Linked DNA regions of Drosophila melanogaster. The gene in region 4 interacts genetically with the main gene of each other region. Each region holds a gene or a part of one and is shown on either strand. Other genes may lie near its edges. The genes, in order: CstF50, IntS9, Not1 and tut.

What was found.
Region 1: of tut (region 4) and CstF50, changing one enhances a phenotype caused by changing the other (phenotypic enhancement), as found in Drosophila melanogaster (one study listed by BioGRID).
Region 2: of tut (region 4) and IntS9, changing one enhances a phenotype caused by changing the other (phenotypic enhancement), as found in Drosophila melanogaster (one study listed by BioGRID).
Region 3: of tut (region 4) and Not1, changing one enhances a phenotype caused by changing the other (phenotypic enhancement), as found in Drosophila melanogaster (one study listed by BioGRID).

The regions. Positions count from the first base shown.
Region 1 is NT_033777.3:31,734,998-31,739,279, forward strand, and holds CstF50 (cleavage stimulation factor 50 kD subunit), read right to left. Parts: upstream 1,967-4,282; 5' UTR 1,884-1,966; coding exon 948-1,883; intron 894-947; coding exon 555-893; 3' UTR 506-554; downstream 1-505. Other genes in the region: CG11563 (uncharacterized protein), read left to right, coding at 2,145-2,242, 2,319-2,603, 2,662-2,902.
Region 2 is NT_037436.4:16,102,604-16,107,484, forward strand, and holds IntS9 (integrator 9), read right to left. Parts: upstream 3,025-4,881; 5' UTR 2,961-3,024; coding exon 2,952-2,960; intron 2,891-2,951; coding exon 1,733-2,890; intron 1,676-1,732; coding exon 878-1,675; 3' UTR 831-877; downstream 1-830. Other genes in the region: IleRS-m (Isoleucyl-tRNA synthetase, mitochondrial), read left to right, coding at 1-127, 183-830; CG43295 (uncharacterized protein), read left to right, coding at 3,249-3,299, 3,373-3,825; Zn72D (Zinc-finger protein at 72D), read right to left, coding at 4,351-4,881. UniProt on the Drosophila melanogaster protein: Component of the integrator complex, a multiprotein complex that terminates RNA polymerase II (Pol II) transcription in the promoter-proximal region of genes.
Region 3 is NT_033778.4:9,573,523-9,578,391, forward strand, and holds the start of Not1 (Not1), read right to left. Parts: upstream 3,174-4,869; 5' UTR 2,983-3,173; coding exon 2,656-2,982; intron 2,597-2,655; coding exon 2,066-2,596; intron 2,011-2,065; coding exon 1,548-2,010; intron 1,486-1,547; coding exon 265-1,485; intron 179-264; coding exon 1-178.
Region 4 is NT_037436.4:8,208,919-8,212,853, reverse strand, and holds tut (tumorous testis), read left to right. Parts: upstream 1-2,110; 5' UTR 2,111-2,182; coding exon 2,183-2,296; intron 2,297-2,362; coding exon 2,363-2,541; intron 2,542-2,596; coding exon 2,597-2,996; 3' UTR 2,997-3,277; downstream 3,278-3,935. Other genes in the region: CG8006 (uncharacterized protein), read right to left, coding at 1-889. UniProt on the Drosophila melanogaster protein: RNA binding protein that forms a complex with bam and bgcn, involved in 3'UTR-dependent regulation of a subset of mRNAs. Preferentially binds a long isoform of mei-P26 transcripts.

The DNA.
Region 1 (4,282 bases), on a different chromosome or scaffold from region 4:
GCAACAAGTTGGAATCAAATGTATTGGCTAATTGTGCAATCTTCAAAACGTGTTGGTGGCTTCGGAGGAACGCGACAACGCTGTTCTGCGGCCCCACGAAATGTTGTAAACTTAATTAACTACTAAGGCCACTTAACTAGGATCTAGGTGTAGTCATAAGGCATTGGATCAATGTTCCAGCGTACAACAAAACGGACTTCCAGTGAAGAGACAACTGATATTTATACGGAATCCCAATCTGGTATTATGTATTATGATTTTTACAGTTTACTTAACGCAACAAATACGACTTAAGACTTGTGCGCTCAATGACTAGAAATTATAGTTGCGATTTTAGGATAACTATTCATGGAAAAACCACAAACGAGTTTTTAATAAAGAAAATTTTACTGATTAATTATTTTTAAAAGCGTTTGAAACATATTTCATTAATTCTGATAAAATCACAAATCGATACACTTAAAAACCCCCACAGCCAATCACAATAATTGAATAATGAACGTGTACATATTTTATTCCTTAAAGTTTTATTCGATTGGTGTAGCTTCATCCGTTTACTGATTATTTGCTCTTCGGTACCAGAAACGTGCCCGAAAGTCGTCGGAGCAGGTGAGGAAAGCAGGACCATTGGGCGAATGCGTAATATAGCGGACAGGTCCGTTGTGTCCAAGCGAGTTAAGGGTCAGGCGGCAGCCGTTACGGGAGTTCCACGAGCAAAGCGAAGTGGTGGCCTCGTCGGGGAAAAGCACGTAATCCTCTGTGTGGTTGAATACAGCCTCTGTCTGGTGCTCCTGCTTGCCGGTGGTTCCAGCGCCCGTGTACGTCTGAATGGGACGACTGGTACACAGCTCCCACAGATAAACCAGTGAATCCATACCGGAAGATAGGAGGTACTAAAATGAATAAGTTAAAATCTTGCACAGCCACTACCCATAGTGTCCCATTACCTTTCCATTCCGCGTAAACTCCAGTGAGCATATTGCCGCTCCGCCATGCGCCTCGGCAATGGTGTTGATGCACCGCCCGCTGATCCCATCCCATATTTTGATGTCACCATCATAGCTGCCTGTGGCGTAGAGTTTCCCCGTGGGCGAATATTTCACGCAAGTAACTCCAGCCTTGTGCTGCTGCGAGGGAATGGCACTCACGAAGCATTGGGTGGTGGCCACATCGTAGACCCGCAAGACGTTATGTTCCGTTCCGATGGCTACGTAGTCACCAGTAGGATGAAAAGACAGGCACAGCACCGGCTCGCAGTCGGTGAACACCTTGTGGGCCTTCTTTACCGAAGGCTTGGCAATGTCAAACAACTTAACAGTGCCATCGCGCGAGGCGGAGGCCAGGATGTGCTCCTTGGGATGGAACTCCAGGTAAGACACTTCATCAGTGTGATCATAGAGCGTGCGAATCACTGGATGGCCTTGTTGTTCCCTGCCCGGCTCGATATCTTCGGGCGCAGACTTCGCCAGCATCCGCTCCACGTCCAGAATCTTGATGCTGGCATCCACGCTCCCGGTGGCCACCAGGGAACCATCGCAACTGAAGGCGCCGGCGCGACAGGCCTGCTTGTGCGAGGTCACATACGCGGTTTCGTAGGAATGTGGTTCCGGGGCCAAGGCCGAAGCCTCCGGCTCGAATTCCAAGTCTATGCCGGGCAGCACATCATCCGAGTTGGTTTTGTCCTTGTCGCTCAGCGTCTGCATCCCTGCAATCATTACGTGCAGCAGGCGTTCACTGGGAGCGCACTGGTCCGCCTTCACCAGCATGGACAGCTCCATGGCGAACTTCTCCAGGCCGTCGTACATCAGCTGGCTGATCATCAGTCGGTAGAGTATCTCCCGGTTCTTCACTAGGTTACTGGGGTCCAAAATCTCATCACGCATGGTGGCTTAATTTATATTTTGTTTCCTACGGATATAAACAAAATCTTGTAGATAACGCCGTGCCGTTATCGTTATCGAAAACATTTATCTTGCCGGTATGTCATCTCTAGCTATGCGGTATTGAAATACTGAAATCAGGGTTTCGGTATTTTACGGTCCACGGTCACTCCTAACAGCTGCAACACGTGCGGTTTTAAAATTGTTTTGGTCCCCTCAATTGATTTTAAACATTGTTTGATTCATTAATTAAACCTCTCAACAATGAAGATCCGCAAGAATCATGCTCGCAAGCGTTATCGCTACAATGTAAACCGCAAGACGATGAATAAAACCCGGAGTTCCACCGGAAAAATTAAGGAGTAAGTTGGATCTTGGTGCACTTACAGCCAATAGAGTCAACAAGTTTACGAAAACCTTCTGTTATGATCTTACCAGTCCCAGGATGAAAAAGATGTGGATGGAGGACCAGCGTGTGGGCACCAACTTCAGTGAAATGGGGTTGGCCAAGGACGTCAACAAGGCCATTGCGATTCCCAGCTACAAGAAGGACCGCCTCCTAGCGGCCCGAGTTGTGAATGGGTTTCTGGAGGAGGAGCTGGACGAGGATGAGCGGCGTGTATTGGGCCTCAAGAAACCAGTCGTAGAGGAGGGTCCAAAACGTGGACACGTAGTCCAGGAACTAGAACAACTGGCTAGCGAGCGAGCCGACCCAGAGTTCAGGTAAAATATTGATTCTGCAATGGAAAACTGTCAAAATACAGGTTTTGTATTTGCACAGATTACCCAAGGGCGTGGTCAAGGAACTGTCCTACTTTCTTAACAAACATAAGTTTAACTACAAGGCGATGGTTGCCGATCGGAAAAACTTTGGCCAGTGGACGTGGCGGCAGTTCCGCTTGAAGATTCGCAGATTTATGTCGATTCCGGAGCAGTTTAACGTTTACCTGGAGCAGAAGAAGTTGCCCGTGGGCGTGAAACCGGACTGGGAGGAATACGAGTCGGACAGTGAATGGAAATAATGGCTCTTGACCAATGTACATTATAGTCGTTTTCGGGTTCTAATGCTATTAATTGTAATGTTTAGACTTACTTTAATTCTTTTAATACAATAAAATAGGCAAGTAAAGACGAACGCAAAAGGTCTACGTATTAAAGCATTACTGTTAATTACATTACATTACTATTAACAGTATTTTTTCAAATTCCTTTCTAACATTTTTGTTCTGTCAAATTTTCTATTGTTCTGTCGTACGACAGGACGAGAGAGAGAGAAAGGAAGGAGCTTGCGTCTTATTTCAACGCATAAGCGAATAGTGTGCACAATGTCTTTTGCAATTAGTGGTGAATGTGCATACTTTTAGTGACAGTCCGTGAAAGTACTATATTATTTTATCTGCAAAAGACTCAGTTTAAGAGAATATAAAATATTCCATGAATGGTAGTAAAATTGTATTACTATTTTTATTTTGGTACGTTTTATACTTAAGGGATGGAAACTTTATTTAAGTCAAGAAATCCGCATAATGCAATAGGAAACCCAAGGCCCTTGTCATACATGGAATCCTGTGCCATCTCTAGGTCGGAATCAGTTCAGCTCCGTTCACCTCAGCATCGTTGCTTTTTCGGTCTTTCCGTTTTGTGATTTCGAGGTAAGTGCACGCAGAGCTCCCGTTAAATTGTGAAAATATTAATAGGCATTGATTAGTTGTGGAAATGTAAAAAGGGAAAGTCCCAGAATTCCCTACCCTGCATTATTAGGCGAATTTCGGTTCGATTTTCCAACCTAAAGAAAGTTCTAAAGTAAAGAAAGTTCCGAAAAGTGAGAGAGTGTAAGTGATTTGCGCTGCCGGCCGGTCTTCTCATTCCTTTTGCATAATAGCTGTGTAAATCGATTCGAATTGGAAATTGGTTTTCCAGCGACCTTAAATTGCAAGTAAATTAATAAAGTTGCATAGACTTTCGAATTCCAACATGGCGACCGGCTGCATGTGTGTGCGCGTTCGATTTTGCCTGGATTGTACCCGTTTCTCCTTCCCGTTCTCAAGCCGTTTATTCCCGAGTAGTTTCTATTGGAATTCGCAGGCAAAAAAAAAATATCCGCGGCATGATGACACATGGTTAGCAGATTATTTTCCTGCCCTGCATCTCTGACGAAGTATTTTTGCATATTCTTTCCCCCTTCATTCCCATTGCTTCTTCCAATTTGCACTTCGATGCAAATACAAAGATTTAAAAATAACATGCAGGAAAATCGGCAAGTGAAACTGTCACTGGGGTAGAAAATAAATCACAACGCCCTGCAGTTCTCGCCGTCTCTTTCCCTTCCTTCTCTGCATGACCAGCAAGTGCACTGCGCCCGTTCGCCGTCCCTTTCTCTCCCGCTCTCTCCATCTCCCTCT
Region 2 (4,881 bases), 7.9 Mb from region 4:
CGGAACTATGCGATATTTAAAAGGCGTAATTGGAGAGAAACAATCGGGGGAGAAGCTTATACGAACTTCGGATAAGAGCTATCTTAATCGTTATTTGTTAAGCCAGCTGGTTGAATTTGAATCTGAGGTAGGAAATTTTGTTAATCTTAGTTTTTCAACTAATCATGTCAATCGCTTTTAAGGTGGAGAAGCTATACCAAGCTTATGAGTACAATCGTGTTGTCGCCTGTGTCCAAAACTTCATTGCAAATCAGGTGTCCGCCGTCTATGTGCATCTCATCAAGGATCGTCTTTATTGTGGTGATGATCACGAGCTACTGGCCATTCGTCAAACTCTTACCCACTGCTATCAACAACTCTGCAAGAGCTTATGGCCCATTGTTCCCTTCCTGGTGGAGGAAAGCTGGAGCTACTATGACACCACAGGTGGTGCATTCCACGAGCAAATTGTTCAGACTAATCCTGAATGGCAGGACACCAAAGCCACTGAAGTGATTAATGCAGCGTTCGATGTTAAACGACTTATTAACCAACAGGCTGGAGATGTTAACACCTGGCACTTGGCCGTGACCATCAAAGGAAAGGAAAGAAGCCAGCTGGATTTGCTGCGAGAACTTCACAGCCCTCTTGGAGAGTCTGTGAGCAATTCTGAATTATGCGAGATATTGCAAGTGGGGTCAGTTACGCTCTTACAGTCCCATAATAGCGACTTGGATATTGCTTTAAGTAAACTTCAGATATCACTGTGCCCACGTTGTCGTCGCTATGGTCTGGAGGATGAGCAGAAAACGTGTCAACGTTGCTCTGACGTTATGGAGGCAAAGAACTAAGCGTAATGATGTGTTGTTATTTAGGTGTAAGGAATACATTTATGTTTTTAAAAACTCTGTAAGCATTTCATGATGGTGTCTCGCAGCTTGAGCCGGGTTGTTGGCTTTCCGCCGCAGATAATATGCGTCTCGTTGTCCTCGAACTTAATGACTGTGTCCTCATTGACAAGGTTCAGAGTCAGAGCGCCGCCAGTGCGGTCTAGCTTGATGTTGGAGAAGCCATCCTGTGCCAGCTTCTTCATCACTGCATCTACATCAATGCTGCCATACTCGTATTTGACGTTCTTCAGCACATCCTCCTTTGTCGGAGCGCTGTTGCTCGAGATGGTCTCGTCTTTAACGCTATCCGCACATGGCTGGATGCAGTGGACCTTGTCCTTAACTTGCAAAACTCCTGTCAATGTGGAGAAGGTCACGCCGGCCGCCACCTCCTTTGGCGATATCTTTTGGGCCAGTTCCGAGGTAATGTAAATTCGATCCAGCTTCCGTTTTAATGGCAGACGTATGATCTCGCCGCACTTGAACGTTATTATCTTCTTATCCGGCTGTTCAATGAACAAATTTGGGGCCGAGGGATGTGGTTTTGTGTATGCCTCTGGGATGACAAGCACATTTGGTTTCAACTCCTTGATCAGCTTATTTGCCTGCTGATAATTCAAAGAGGTGTCGATGGGACAGTAAAAAGCCTTCATGGCCAGTGGTTGGAAGGGCGCCAGTACTTGCAGATACGGAAAGTCCGGCTCCGTGAATATGATGGAGTTGTTAGGGTTATTGCCCCACATCTCGATAAAGTGAACAGCGTCGCCGAAACGCAAGCTAGGATGGCCACAAAAGACCACGCAGGGCTGTAAGGAAGACAGAGAATTTGTAGTATGAAGTTTTCACAATTATGTTAGACAAACCTGCCGGAAGTCCTTGCTAAAGCCCTCGGAGAACACATGGTTATAGTGCTTCAGCTTGTTGTTGCGAAGGTAAAAGGCATGTGGGAAAGGATCGTCTGGAAGATACACTTTGTTCTGCTTGGCGGAACTAAGCCACTCGGCCAGGATATTAGAATACGCCAAGGAGCTGTCTGCCACAGGGGAAATAAAGAACATGGGAACATTGTTTAGGCCAGCGTTTTCCAAATTCTGGGTGAGGCACTCAAAGAGGTCATAGACAACGCCCGAAGGATAACAGGGAATCAAGGCAGACCCATTGTTGCGGATCGTCAAGGCCACATTCATGCAGAGCTCGCCCAGCTTCGTGTCCGGATTTACCGTCGGCGCCTGCGTCAGTCCGGTCATAATGAGTACATCGGCGTGCTTCAGCGCCGACTGATTGATGGGCCGCGGATGTGTGGTCAACGTGGAGGAACCACTGACATAGCAAATCTTTTCATGCGCCGTGCTCAGTACCCAGTTGCTCGAGCCCAGGCAGTAGCCCGAGCTGACAGGAGTGGCGATAAAAGCTCCGAGGATGTCCAGCTTCTCGTCGTAGCCCATGATGGTCACCTTGGACAGACTGCCTTGGACATCCTTAAGACTAAAGATAGTGCGCCACTTCTTGGCGCGAAAGGCTTCGCTCAAGGGACTGGGCAGCAGATGAAGCTTCTCCTTCCACAAGCGCGCGGTGCACGCCTTGGGCGACACTTCGATATAGTCCACCAGCTCCTCCAGGAAAAATCGGCCGATCTGCAGCGTTGGCTCCGTGGCATAGACTTTGCCCTTGAACCCCGTGTTTTCCGTGATATACGGCAAGGCCAGCATATTAAGATAATTCGAGATAAGTATCACATCCACTTCGCTGAAATCCAGCATTTTGTCCATGGGTAGATTAAACTCGGGCGTCGAGTCCACGAAAACCCGGCCACAGCAGTCCTTCAACTCGCCATCCATTTGGGGATCATGATCCCGACTGGGCACGAAGTTGGGCAGATTGGACCACTTCAGTGACTGAACGAAGGGCAGCGGAAGGAAATTCAGGACTGTCTGCTCCGTGAGACCGCAGTCCAGCATAATCCGCAGGCCCTTGAAGGTAATGATATAACATGGCTTGGCCAGGTCCCCGCTGAGACAATACTGCAAAGTGGATAGTCACTTCCGCTAATTAAGTTGTTATTTACTTCTCAGGATGACTTACCAATCGCATTTTATTAAACCGACAGTGCCGATTAGACGATGCAAGTTTGTTTATATTTGGACCAGGGATGGGGAACGATTTGGTTCACTTATGAACCGGAATCAGCACCCGGCTAAATCATTAACCATAGGTACCAAAATTAGTTAATTACAAATTTTGGTAAATGTTTTACTACTTGTTAAACTGTAGTCATCACGCTTTAACATTTGTGCAACCACATTTTTTTCACTCCACTTGTTGCAGTGCTGTTGGTTTCCATCCCTGGTCTCTTTATTTGGTTTTTCGCAAATTTGAATAATGTCCCAGCAAATTCGCGTGGTACAATGCATTCAATGCAAAATGTACCAGGTGAGTGCAAACAAACTGAAATATATCTTAGAACTCAATAACTACTTATATATATATACCTAATTTAAACAAGGTGGACTTCGTGAAAAAGGCAAGCACATGGCAGTGTAAAATTTGCCGCCAAAAGCAAAGTTTGCTCAAGGAATTCTTTCGAGGATCGGCAGCGGAATGCCGGGTTAAGGTGCAGCATCTCAACTTAGAGCGCGGAATGCAGGAGGAATGTCTGAACACGGGCTTATTCCTCACGGCAAAGCAACAGCTCGAAGAGGAGAAAGACTGCCAAGAAAAAGAGGAAAACACCACACCTCAGAAGAAAACAAATAAATGGGCAAACTATGTGGATAATACCATTGAAACTACTCAAAAGCCTGCAGCAAAACCTACGAAAACCGATGAACTTTCCGACGAAATCTCTATGAACTTTAAGAAAACCAGGAACACAGGGCCACGATCCTCTAAACGTTCCGCTGAAAATATGCCAACAGTTACTAAGAAAATTTGCTCTAAGTGGAACGACTTCTTGTAATTCCTTAAAAATTATATATCATATATATAAATATATATTTGAATTAATTTCAATTAGAACTTATTTATAAAGCGAAGAATATTATCAGTGCTAGATTATCTCCAATTAAGATTTCCAGTTACGTGAATGAATTAAGCTTATCTTTATTAAAAAAATAATTTAATTATAATTGTTCAATACGTTTTATTAAAATCCGCTTCGTTCTAGTATTTGTGTATATGAGTGTGAGGGCCATAATGTTCACATTCAAACTGAATACATTGCCTTGCCTTGCACTAATGCTAGAAAAATACAAGTTTTATGATCCACTAAATATTGTTAGTTAAAGTTGGGGTAATTTGGGATTCACTAATCGCCGATTGGGCAACATGTTGGACATGCTTAGCTCCTTGTGCCCCAATCGGTTTGAATACTCGTGTATAGATTAGAGTTGGTTATAGTTAAGTGACGCCTGGTCGCGCTTTTATCTTGAGAGAAATTGTAATATTAGTAGCCGACTACGTGTATATAACCTATTCTCGCCGCTTAGGTGCTGGCAGGAGTGCCTCCGACACCCTCCTTCTTGGCCACCTTCTCATCGGAGCCGGTCTCATCGATGTCATTGGACTCGGTCTCCGTGCCGGGTGCACCACCTGCCTTGCCCGATGACCTACGTCGCTTGCGGTTGACACGCCATGGACGCATTGGAAACTTCATCGCCGGCAATGGCTCCATGCCAAGCACTTTGTAAATCTGTCGAAAGGCAATGTAGCGCAGGAAGAGCTGTGCGGACACAGTGAGATCCTCGCGCTCCTGTTTGGTCAACTCGAGTAGAGCGTCTGTGGGGTCCTTCTCGCAAGGATCCAGCAGGCCCGGTCCGTTGATTAGAAAGCCTGACGATAAGGCCTCCATGATGCGACGCATGCAGTCACCGGGCGAAATGGGAAAGCCAGCCGACGAGATGACCTTCTCTACGAGGAGCTCCAAAGACCATTGGGGCAGCGATTGCCAGGAAGAGACGCGCTGGCACAGATCCCTGAGGATGCGTATGACCATGACGCACGACTGGAGGCCTGT
Region 3 (4,869 bases), on a different chromosome or scaffold from region 4:
ATCACAGGGTTGTTTGGATTGGGGGCCGTTGGAGTCGGCGTTGGAGTCTGCTGTTGTGGACCCCCTGGCAGCATGCGGCCTAGGTTTCCTACGTTGGGTGGTGGCGGAGCCTGCGGCATCTGCATGAGGTTCAGCGGATAGGGATTGGCTCCCGGAGTCATCAGACGCGATGGAGAAGCTGAAATTGCACGTAGAATTTCGTTAGATAGGATTAAGAGGCATCTGTGATAGATTATGCACTCATTGCCTATGAATGCCACTTACTTAGCATGTTTCCAAAATTAAATGCTCCGTTCGGGCCGCTGAGGTTGAGGCCGGCTAAGTTGTTGGACATATTCGTTAGCGGATCCATTCCTGGTCCAAACATCTGCGCGTTGAGGTTTCCGGAGAACGGTTGCTGCGGTGGCGGAGGGACTATGCCTCCAGGCAGATCCATACCACGATGGCCGCGCAGAATTGTTGGTGGAGGCGGCGGAACCAATCCTGGCTGCTGCTGCTGTTGGGCACGCGCCTTGTTAGCCATAATCGCCACGTTCGCGGTCATTTGCATGATGACTTCGACCATCTCCGGCTGCATGCAGTTATTGATGCACGTTTGCAGACAGTTGATCATGGTGGTAACTGTCTCGGGCAAAAGCTGCGCCTGCTTGGGAGGCAGCTGATCCTCTGGCACTTTTGCGTTGATAACCTGCGGGCAGCGGCGGTGCAGAACCTTGATTATAGCCTGCATAAAAGGCTCTCCATGTTCGCGAATTTTATCGGTAAGCCACTTTTCCAGCTTCAGGTACTCGCGCCGAGAGGCAAGGCAAGCCAGGTCGATAATGAATAAAAATGAACGGGCGTTGAGCAGCGCTGATAGCGCTTTTAAATCCTGGGCAAGATCCAGGATGCGCGACAGTTTCACCTGATCGAACTCATTGCCTCGGAGATACCACTCGGACATAGCATTCATGATATTGGAACGAAGTTGGAAGTTGTTCGAGCTCCAGGCGCTGGCCAAGATCACGTTCGAGTTGGGATGGTTGCCAAGGAACGTTGGTATCAGTTGGTTAAACAGATCCTGACGCAGTGGCGTCATAGGCGGACTTGTGTTCAATAAGGCCAAAAATAGCACATCGGGACAGTTCTGCGCTGGGAACTTGAATAGCTCATGGACCTGCGTATAGTATCCCTTGTCCGCAATGGAGAGCAGCACCTCCACCAGGTGAAGCGACTTCCAGGACGAGATCTCCTTATTGTCCGCATCCGGAGCCGTCTTAAGCACATCCAACGCTGGCTGGCTAAATACAAAGTCGGCGAAGGAAAAGAGATCCGGGTTCTTCAGCATTGTCGCGATAAGCGACAGCTGACCTTCCGTGTTTGCCCAGTGACGGTAAATGCATTCTGGATGTGGAAATATGTTAGAGCCAGTGGCCAGCCGAAGGATGGTGAGCAAAAGCTCCAAACCGATGCGATCCTTCAGCACGAACTCGGGATGATCAAGTTCTAAAAATTAAGAATGATATTCCTATAGATTGGCGATTGCGAAGCAATTATCTAGCTATTACCCATGCACACGTCCTTCCAGTTGAGCTGAGGCACCACCTCCTTGAGCGCCTGCACAAAGACATCTGGCTTCCAAGTTTGCGTGGCCTCCGTCGTCTCCTTCTTGTCCTTCTTATCACTGGACGAATTGCCATCGCTGCCATCGTTGTTGTTACTGCTGCCCGGGTTCTGTTGCTGCGGAGTGATTTGTGTCTGCGAAGAGCCACTGCTGTTGCTGCCACCGCCCTGTCCCTGACCAGGCCAGAAGTTCGCCGGCGTCGGTAGATTCACATTACAATCGAGCAGGGAGGAGTGCCGTCGGCACATAAGACCCACGATCTTGGCGACATCTTTGGACTGGAGCTCAGCGCGTTCTCGCTCGCGGGAACACAAATGATTCTTACACTCTTCAACGCTCGATGTAAATTCATAACCGATTTCAAGGATTAGATTAATCCAAGATGTGTCCATAATATTATTTTTGCCCTGCAACACAACATTCAATTAGCGAATTGTCTTTTTCAATGAGTGTCTTACGCACCTGGTTGGTGAATATTATCTCGCTTAAATGGTCATAAATATCCTCGATTCCCACCTCGTTCAAAGCATCTGCTTCGAAACTGGAGCTGTTGCTATTAGTCGTCGCTTCGGCCTCCGCATCCGTTTCGCTGGCACCTGCTCCCGCAATCGTCGCCGTCGTCGAGCCGTAAAGGAACGGCGCTAGAACCAGCGGTACCGCCTGGCGCGGAAACTCCTCACGAAGCTTGATCAAAAACTGTGCTTCCACCTGCGGTTGTACGTACTCGCTAAGGCAGCACAACAAATACTGCAGTAGATCGAAGGAGATCTCCCGGAGACCGCTGTCGGCTGGGCCGGTGCCTTTATTACCCAAGTAAGAGTCTATAAGTTCGCTGAGGCTACCTTTTAGGTTGTTCCTGGCAGAATGTTTGAGTTCTGTGTACGAGGAGTGGGTCAAGGCCAAGGCAAAGACGCACTCACAAACCTTGTTGATGCCGGTCAGTCGGGCGACCTGGCCAACGAGATCCGCTACCGCAACAGGCTTCAGGGACTGCTTAGGAATGAGTATCCATAAGTAATCAACACATTGTGGGCATTGTAAACTCAACTTACCTTCTGGTTGCTGGCGAAGAACTGGTCAAAAGCGTAGCAGATGTTGGACACAAACGATGAACTGTGAAGCTGACGCTCCAACTGGATGCCCAGGAGCTTCGCCTGCAGCTGGACCGTAACTGATGGCACGAGATCGCTGAAGTTGATCACGGAGAACAGGTGGCGCAGGCTGCTGCGATCCGCTTCCAGGCCGTGCTCTTTAACGAACTGCAAGATGTCGTAAATGCTATCAGTAATGTATGGTTTAGAATCAAAGAGCTGCATTGCGTAGGGTTTGGAAGCCAATATAAGTGCCTTGACAGCGACTGCCCGCAATCTGGGACACATATCACTGTATAAGGGACAGTGTATGTTTCAAACGATTCCTCAGATTCTGCGGTGACCGGGATTTTTTTTTATGTGATTTTCATCGCAAACTTGGAAATTTTGACAGGTTCTATTATGTTCTGTGAGTGTCTCAACTTTTCTCTGTACAATTGGATATGTGTTTACGGATACAGGGCAAGATGTAAAGTAACATTTTGGAGGGATTATTTCTAACTCCAGGCAACTGTTTTCAAAAGTAAATCCATTAAGTCATTATTTCTTGCCCGCTTAAAAACTTTACCCAATTGGCTTTTTAAAAGCGCAACCAGAGGGTTAAAACATGAATTTTATCATTGGGAATTCCAGTTTAGGTGCACCATTGTTGGGCTCACAGGTTTCTGAGATTATCTTGAATGCTATAACTAAATGGAAGACTATATCTCAAATTGGGCTATCGTTAAGTTAGTTAATGTATTTTCTATCCGATAATTTCTCCATGGAATCCAACAAATTCCTAGACCTTTCTTACTATAAATTCCGTTGGGTTATCCTAGTACTTCATTCCAACATTGAATATCAGTGAAAATTTGGTAATCCTACTGAGTTCGAATAACTTGAAAACTTATCAGGCTTTTTAAATGGCAGATATAGATTGTTGAGAATTTCAAAATACTGAAGTATATGACTCTGTTTTGTTATCATTTTTTTTTATCATTTTTTTTAATTTTTGAGGAATATGCCATTTACTGTCAAGAAAACGGGATCTGTAGCATAGTTTGTCCCACAAACGATTACTTTTTAGGGGATTGTTGGGCAAATGGTGCCATTCTAAGCCAAGTATTTGTTATGATACTAATTTGAATGGCAAAACTTTTCTAGGAGGCTAGATATCCCCCTCCCTCCCTACGGATCCAAAACTGTTGAAATATTTGATCCGGAGCTCGGAGTCCGGAATCAAGGCCTCACTCCGAACGGGGGAGCGAGACAACAGCTTTGGCCCCGCCGTCGCAGCTGCTCCACAACAAATTACACACGCGCCCTCTCGCTCGCACACGTTGGCGAAACGTTACATGGGTAAGGAGAGAAGAGAGCATGACGGTGCGCGAAAGGAAGGGGGTCACAGGAAAAAGTGCGACATATTGCAACTCTAGCGAAAAGAAAGCGGCCGCAATTGATATTCCCACGCAATTTGTCCCACGAACTTACTATTCAATTTGGTTTCTCTCGTTTGGCAATGAAAAAACAGAAGTTTCGGGGCCGAAAAGCCCTGCGCTTGGCTTGGGCTTCCCAATTCGAATTTCGCAATTCGATTTCGCACTACTACGCTGCAAAATTCACACTGCCATCAACTCACGAAACACGTTTGTGGCTAAGCGCACACAATTGGCCTGGTTTTACACATTCTATAAAACTTTTAGCTTAAACAAAACGCTCACAAAACGCGCAACGCCGTGCAGAGAAATTTTTTCAGCTGCCTTTACCAAAAAACTGTAATGGCGTCGGCAAAAATGCACGAGCGAGTGAAATGGCAATAGCCCATTCGTGAGTGCGAACAATTGGCAACTCTGGTTGGCCAGGTGCGATATGTTGTCGGTTTGGCAACACTAAACCCCCGCCCCCTACAAAATGTTGTTGTTATTGTTGACAAAATGAATTGGAAATGGTTCATGGAAACTTTGGTAGAATAACTTGGGCACCTACCTGATTTATTTGCTCGCTGCTCTCATTAAAATTTCGCTTGTTCACGTGCTTGACCAGATTTCGAATGTGCGTTGGCGGTGTCTTCAGTTGGCTCTCTACGTTCATAATTCTACGTATCAGTTGTCAATTCCTCAGCGGATGTTTCTTGTTGCTGTTGTTTTTGTTGGAGGCCACCAGAATTTTTTGTTCAGCACACACGTTTAGCGT
Region 4 (3,935 bases):
CCGTAACGCCAATAGGAGAATGGCATTGGGCACTGGCTCGCTCGGCAGGAACATCCTTATGAATCTTCTTTGGCGGCTTTGGCGGCGGAATCTTCGATTTATATTTTGATTCGATTGTGTTTTTCAAACGTTCGGCCATTTCCTCAAAGCAATCCCTCAGATTTTTCACAGCACTTGATCGGCGGTTGACCTGATCTATGACATTGGTGATCTTGATGAGTTTCTCTTGGGATAAGGAACTGGAGGAATGGGTTCTTCCGCTGTCAGGTGCATCCCGATTGAATGTGGAGCTCGATGGATGCTGCTTATTTCTCGAGAGCTCATACTCCAATAGTTCGACTCTCTTCTTCACAGTGTGACTATCAGCACCATTTGGGGACTCGAAGCCAGTCCTTGGATAAACTTGGCTATCCTTCGAGTCAGAGGATCGCGTATTTGTTTTTCGTATTATTGTCACAATGCTGGCAAAACTACTGGTCGTAGGATCATTTTCCGATTGTTCGGAAACCTCCTTGATGGGTTCCAGTTTCCTGGGTCGTAAAATTTGAGTCGAGCACTTCTTGAGCAGTGTAGGTGATTTGCCAGTAGCTAACTTCTTACATGGCTGGCCTCTGTACTCATCCAAAATTACGTTCAGATTCCTACTGTAGTTACGCACATCCGTGAACGGTTCCTTGAGCACTCCAAAGTCCTTCAAGTGGCCATGCATGAGCAGCATCAGGCTATTTCGGGCCAACTTCTCGCTGAGAGGAGCCTTCTCGAATATCTTTATCCATCTGGCCATGATGGGGCGATCCGACTGCTTAGCCCTTGCCTGATCGGCATACTTGTAACTGGCTAGCTGCTGCCTGAAATGGCGATCCAGTAACTCCTCGCTTAGATCCTTCATGGCCACATTCGCATATTCAACCGGAATCAACTGATTTTGTTCCCAAAAAATATTTGTAATTTTAATGATTTGAATAAAATGAAACCGCTTACTCAAATCGGGTAAGGAAATGCGGAAATATAAGTGGGACTAGTGGCCTTACTCGGCGACTGTCACCAAACGTCTCTCAACCGCAGAAAGGGGAGGGGGGTCAAAAGTGGAGCTCAGGGTTTCTCAGAGATGCTTCAAGTGGTGGGCCCACGTCTGGCAACAAGCACAAGGAGCAGCGACACTACACTTTAAACAAAGAATATCAGAGCTTACTTTTCAAAGAACTTAATGGATTTTCTTGTCGAAACACTCTTACCTGGTGCGTCTCTACACTACGTGGACTAAACTGGACTTCACAGTGATAGCTTTTGCATTTACCACTTCATTTAAGAAAACTGTTGTGTATTAATCTAACAACATGTTACCTCCCACAAATAGTTTAATGTCAGTAATTTGCTTATGGCCATTTCGAAACAATGAATTATTAGTGTAACAGCAGTAGCAACAAAACAGTATGCGGTTGCCACGTAAATTTTCATTAGCGCAGCGCGCGTATAAATTAGGAAAATGAAGCAGCAGCAGCGGCAGCAGGCACTTGAGTGCACCGCAACCTCCATCAAGATGCCCCCTGGTGGGGTGAGTGGGTGGTGGAGTGGGTGGCGGATGGGCGGCTTAACCGCAGCAACAACAACAGCGAATGCGATGCGAACCTACATACATACATACATAGGTGCTGCGGCTTGTGGCGAACTGTGAGCAAAAGTTGCAAACGACCGACTGCCTGCATAAATTTATATTGTTAAACATGAGCTAGAAAAAAGCACGCGCAGCCTGTCAAAAGAAAGCAAAAATAAAGAGCAAAGAAATTGCCTGACATGCAAAAAGCGGTTTGGAAAAAGAGTAAAGTAAATGCATAAAGTACATAGCAAAAATAGAATACCTTCGTATAGAGCTGAGTTCGCAGCAATGCCAAAAAAAGACCTCTTACGCAAAAATATAATATGAAAACACTCTCTATTTTACACAAATGTTAAACATTCAAACAAGTTCATAAACAATAATAAGTTTATGCCCCTCCGTTACTTTACCTAAGTGTTAAGTATAAAGAATTTTACCAACTTCATTGACTATCTGGCAACGTCGCGAGCGTTGTATGTTTTAAAGCTTATTTGGTCACACTAAATCATTGGCATCTTAGCTTTTTTTTTTTTTTTTGATGCACGCGTGTATGCTGTGTATTTTTTTTTTTTTGCTATTTTTAAAATGGATTTCGAGAGCAAATACTGCACCAGTCAAGTAAATGGCACTATTACCATAACTACGCGCAAAGTCCTTGATGAAAATCTAAAATCCTTACTGGATGAGGGAAAGGGCGAGGTGAGTGTCTAGTGAAGCATCTAGTCTCAAAAGTTTACGGAGACACTAATACGTTTTTGCTTCTAGCTGTTTCTCTCGTGTATACCGAGGAATCACAGTTGTTCTCCGCGGTGGATTGTGGAAGTGGCCAGCGAACTGGGTGAAGTTTACATTATGCGCTATAAGATTGATTTTTCGGGAAATTCTCGCGGCTACGCCTACTTGCAATATATCAATGTGGACCTCAAGGAATCGGCAATGCAATAGTACGTACTTCGTAATAATTTTCACATAAAACAGCACTAACCCTAATAATCCCAGTCTGCCAATGCGATTCCGACAGCTTTGCATGTGCTTAAGGGTGGAGCCATCGACCAACAATCGCGAGCTGGTGCTCAAAAACGTAGAATCGTCGCTTAGACCATGGCAAGTGTACCAGGAGATGTTGAAGATACATCCCTTTACCATCGTTCGAGTCTACGAGTATCAATTAGACCAGTTCTTCTATATATTTGAGTACCGCAACAACGACTCGGCCGCAAGTGCCCATCAGAGAGTAAGGAATTCGATCAGAAAATTCGGTGAGCATGCGCACATCTCCTGGTTGACTGCGGAGAACATCTTGAGCAGAGCCAGCGGTAGCTTCTGTTTTCAACGGGAAGTAAGCCAAAATCGTACTCGACGCGTTCCTCCCAGACAAAAGGGCTGTTTCAAGTTTTAAATGGAAGTGGTATCAAGTATGTTACTTTATTGGTTCATGCTACCAAATCCATAAGGCTCCAAATGTTTTGTTTGTACTACACGTAAGTAGGACGAAAATGTATAAAATACTTTAATACTTTAGTTATATTTTTTCTATTGTTAAATAAGTTTATAAGTAAAATAAGAGTACTCTTAAATAAGTCAACCATTTAGATATGAATGAAGATGTTTATTGCTTGATTTGTGTAAGTTTTTGTAATACGTGGAATTTGAAAACAAGAATATGTGTTTTGCAAAGTTAATCTCTGATTTTTTAATGAAATTTTAAAGCCAAATATCAAATCACTTTTAGAATGCATACTATACCTTAAAAAAAAACTAACCAAGCGGATTTTGGAATTCCTGTGGCTCTCTGGGCAGTAAATTATGTTGCTGCCCATGCGAATGTAACATAAACTTTCACCAGTTGTTAGGACAGGGGGAAATTATACACAGCATTGTTCCTGGCAAATCCTTTTGGCCCGCCGCTTCTCACTCTGATGAAATGCAGCCGCAGCTTGTTGACTTCATTAACTCTGGGCAAAAACAGCGAGCAGCCATAAAAATAAAAAAAAATAAAAAAAACAACACCGACAGCGCAGCGAAGCTGCAGTTTTTCACATGCAAATTAATGCAGTGTCTTTGGAGTGGCGGAGTGGCAGCCAGGACTTTCAGGGCAATGCGACAACCTGCGGCATAATGCAATTAAATGAGTGCAGCGAGCAGGAGTCGACGCTAGCCTCCGGCTGGCATTGTGTTGGACACGGTGTCTGGGTACCGGGTCTGACTCCAGATTACGGGTCTCCAAAGTGCAATGATCGACGGACGGGAGTGGAGGGAGCGCAAGACATCCGTCAGGCGAAGGATGCACAGGACGCGAGGTGCGAGGGACAGGTCCGCTGCGCATTCTAATGCGATT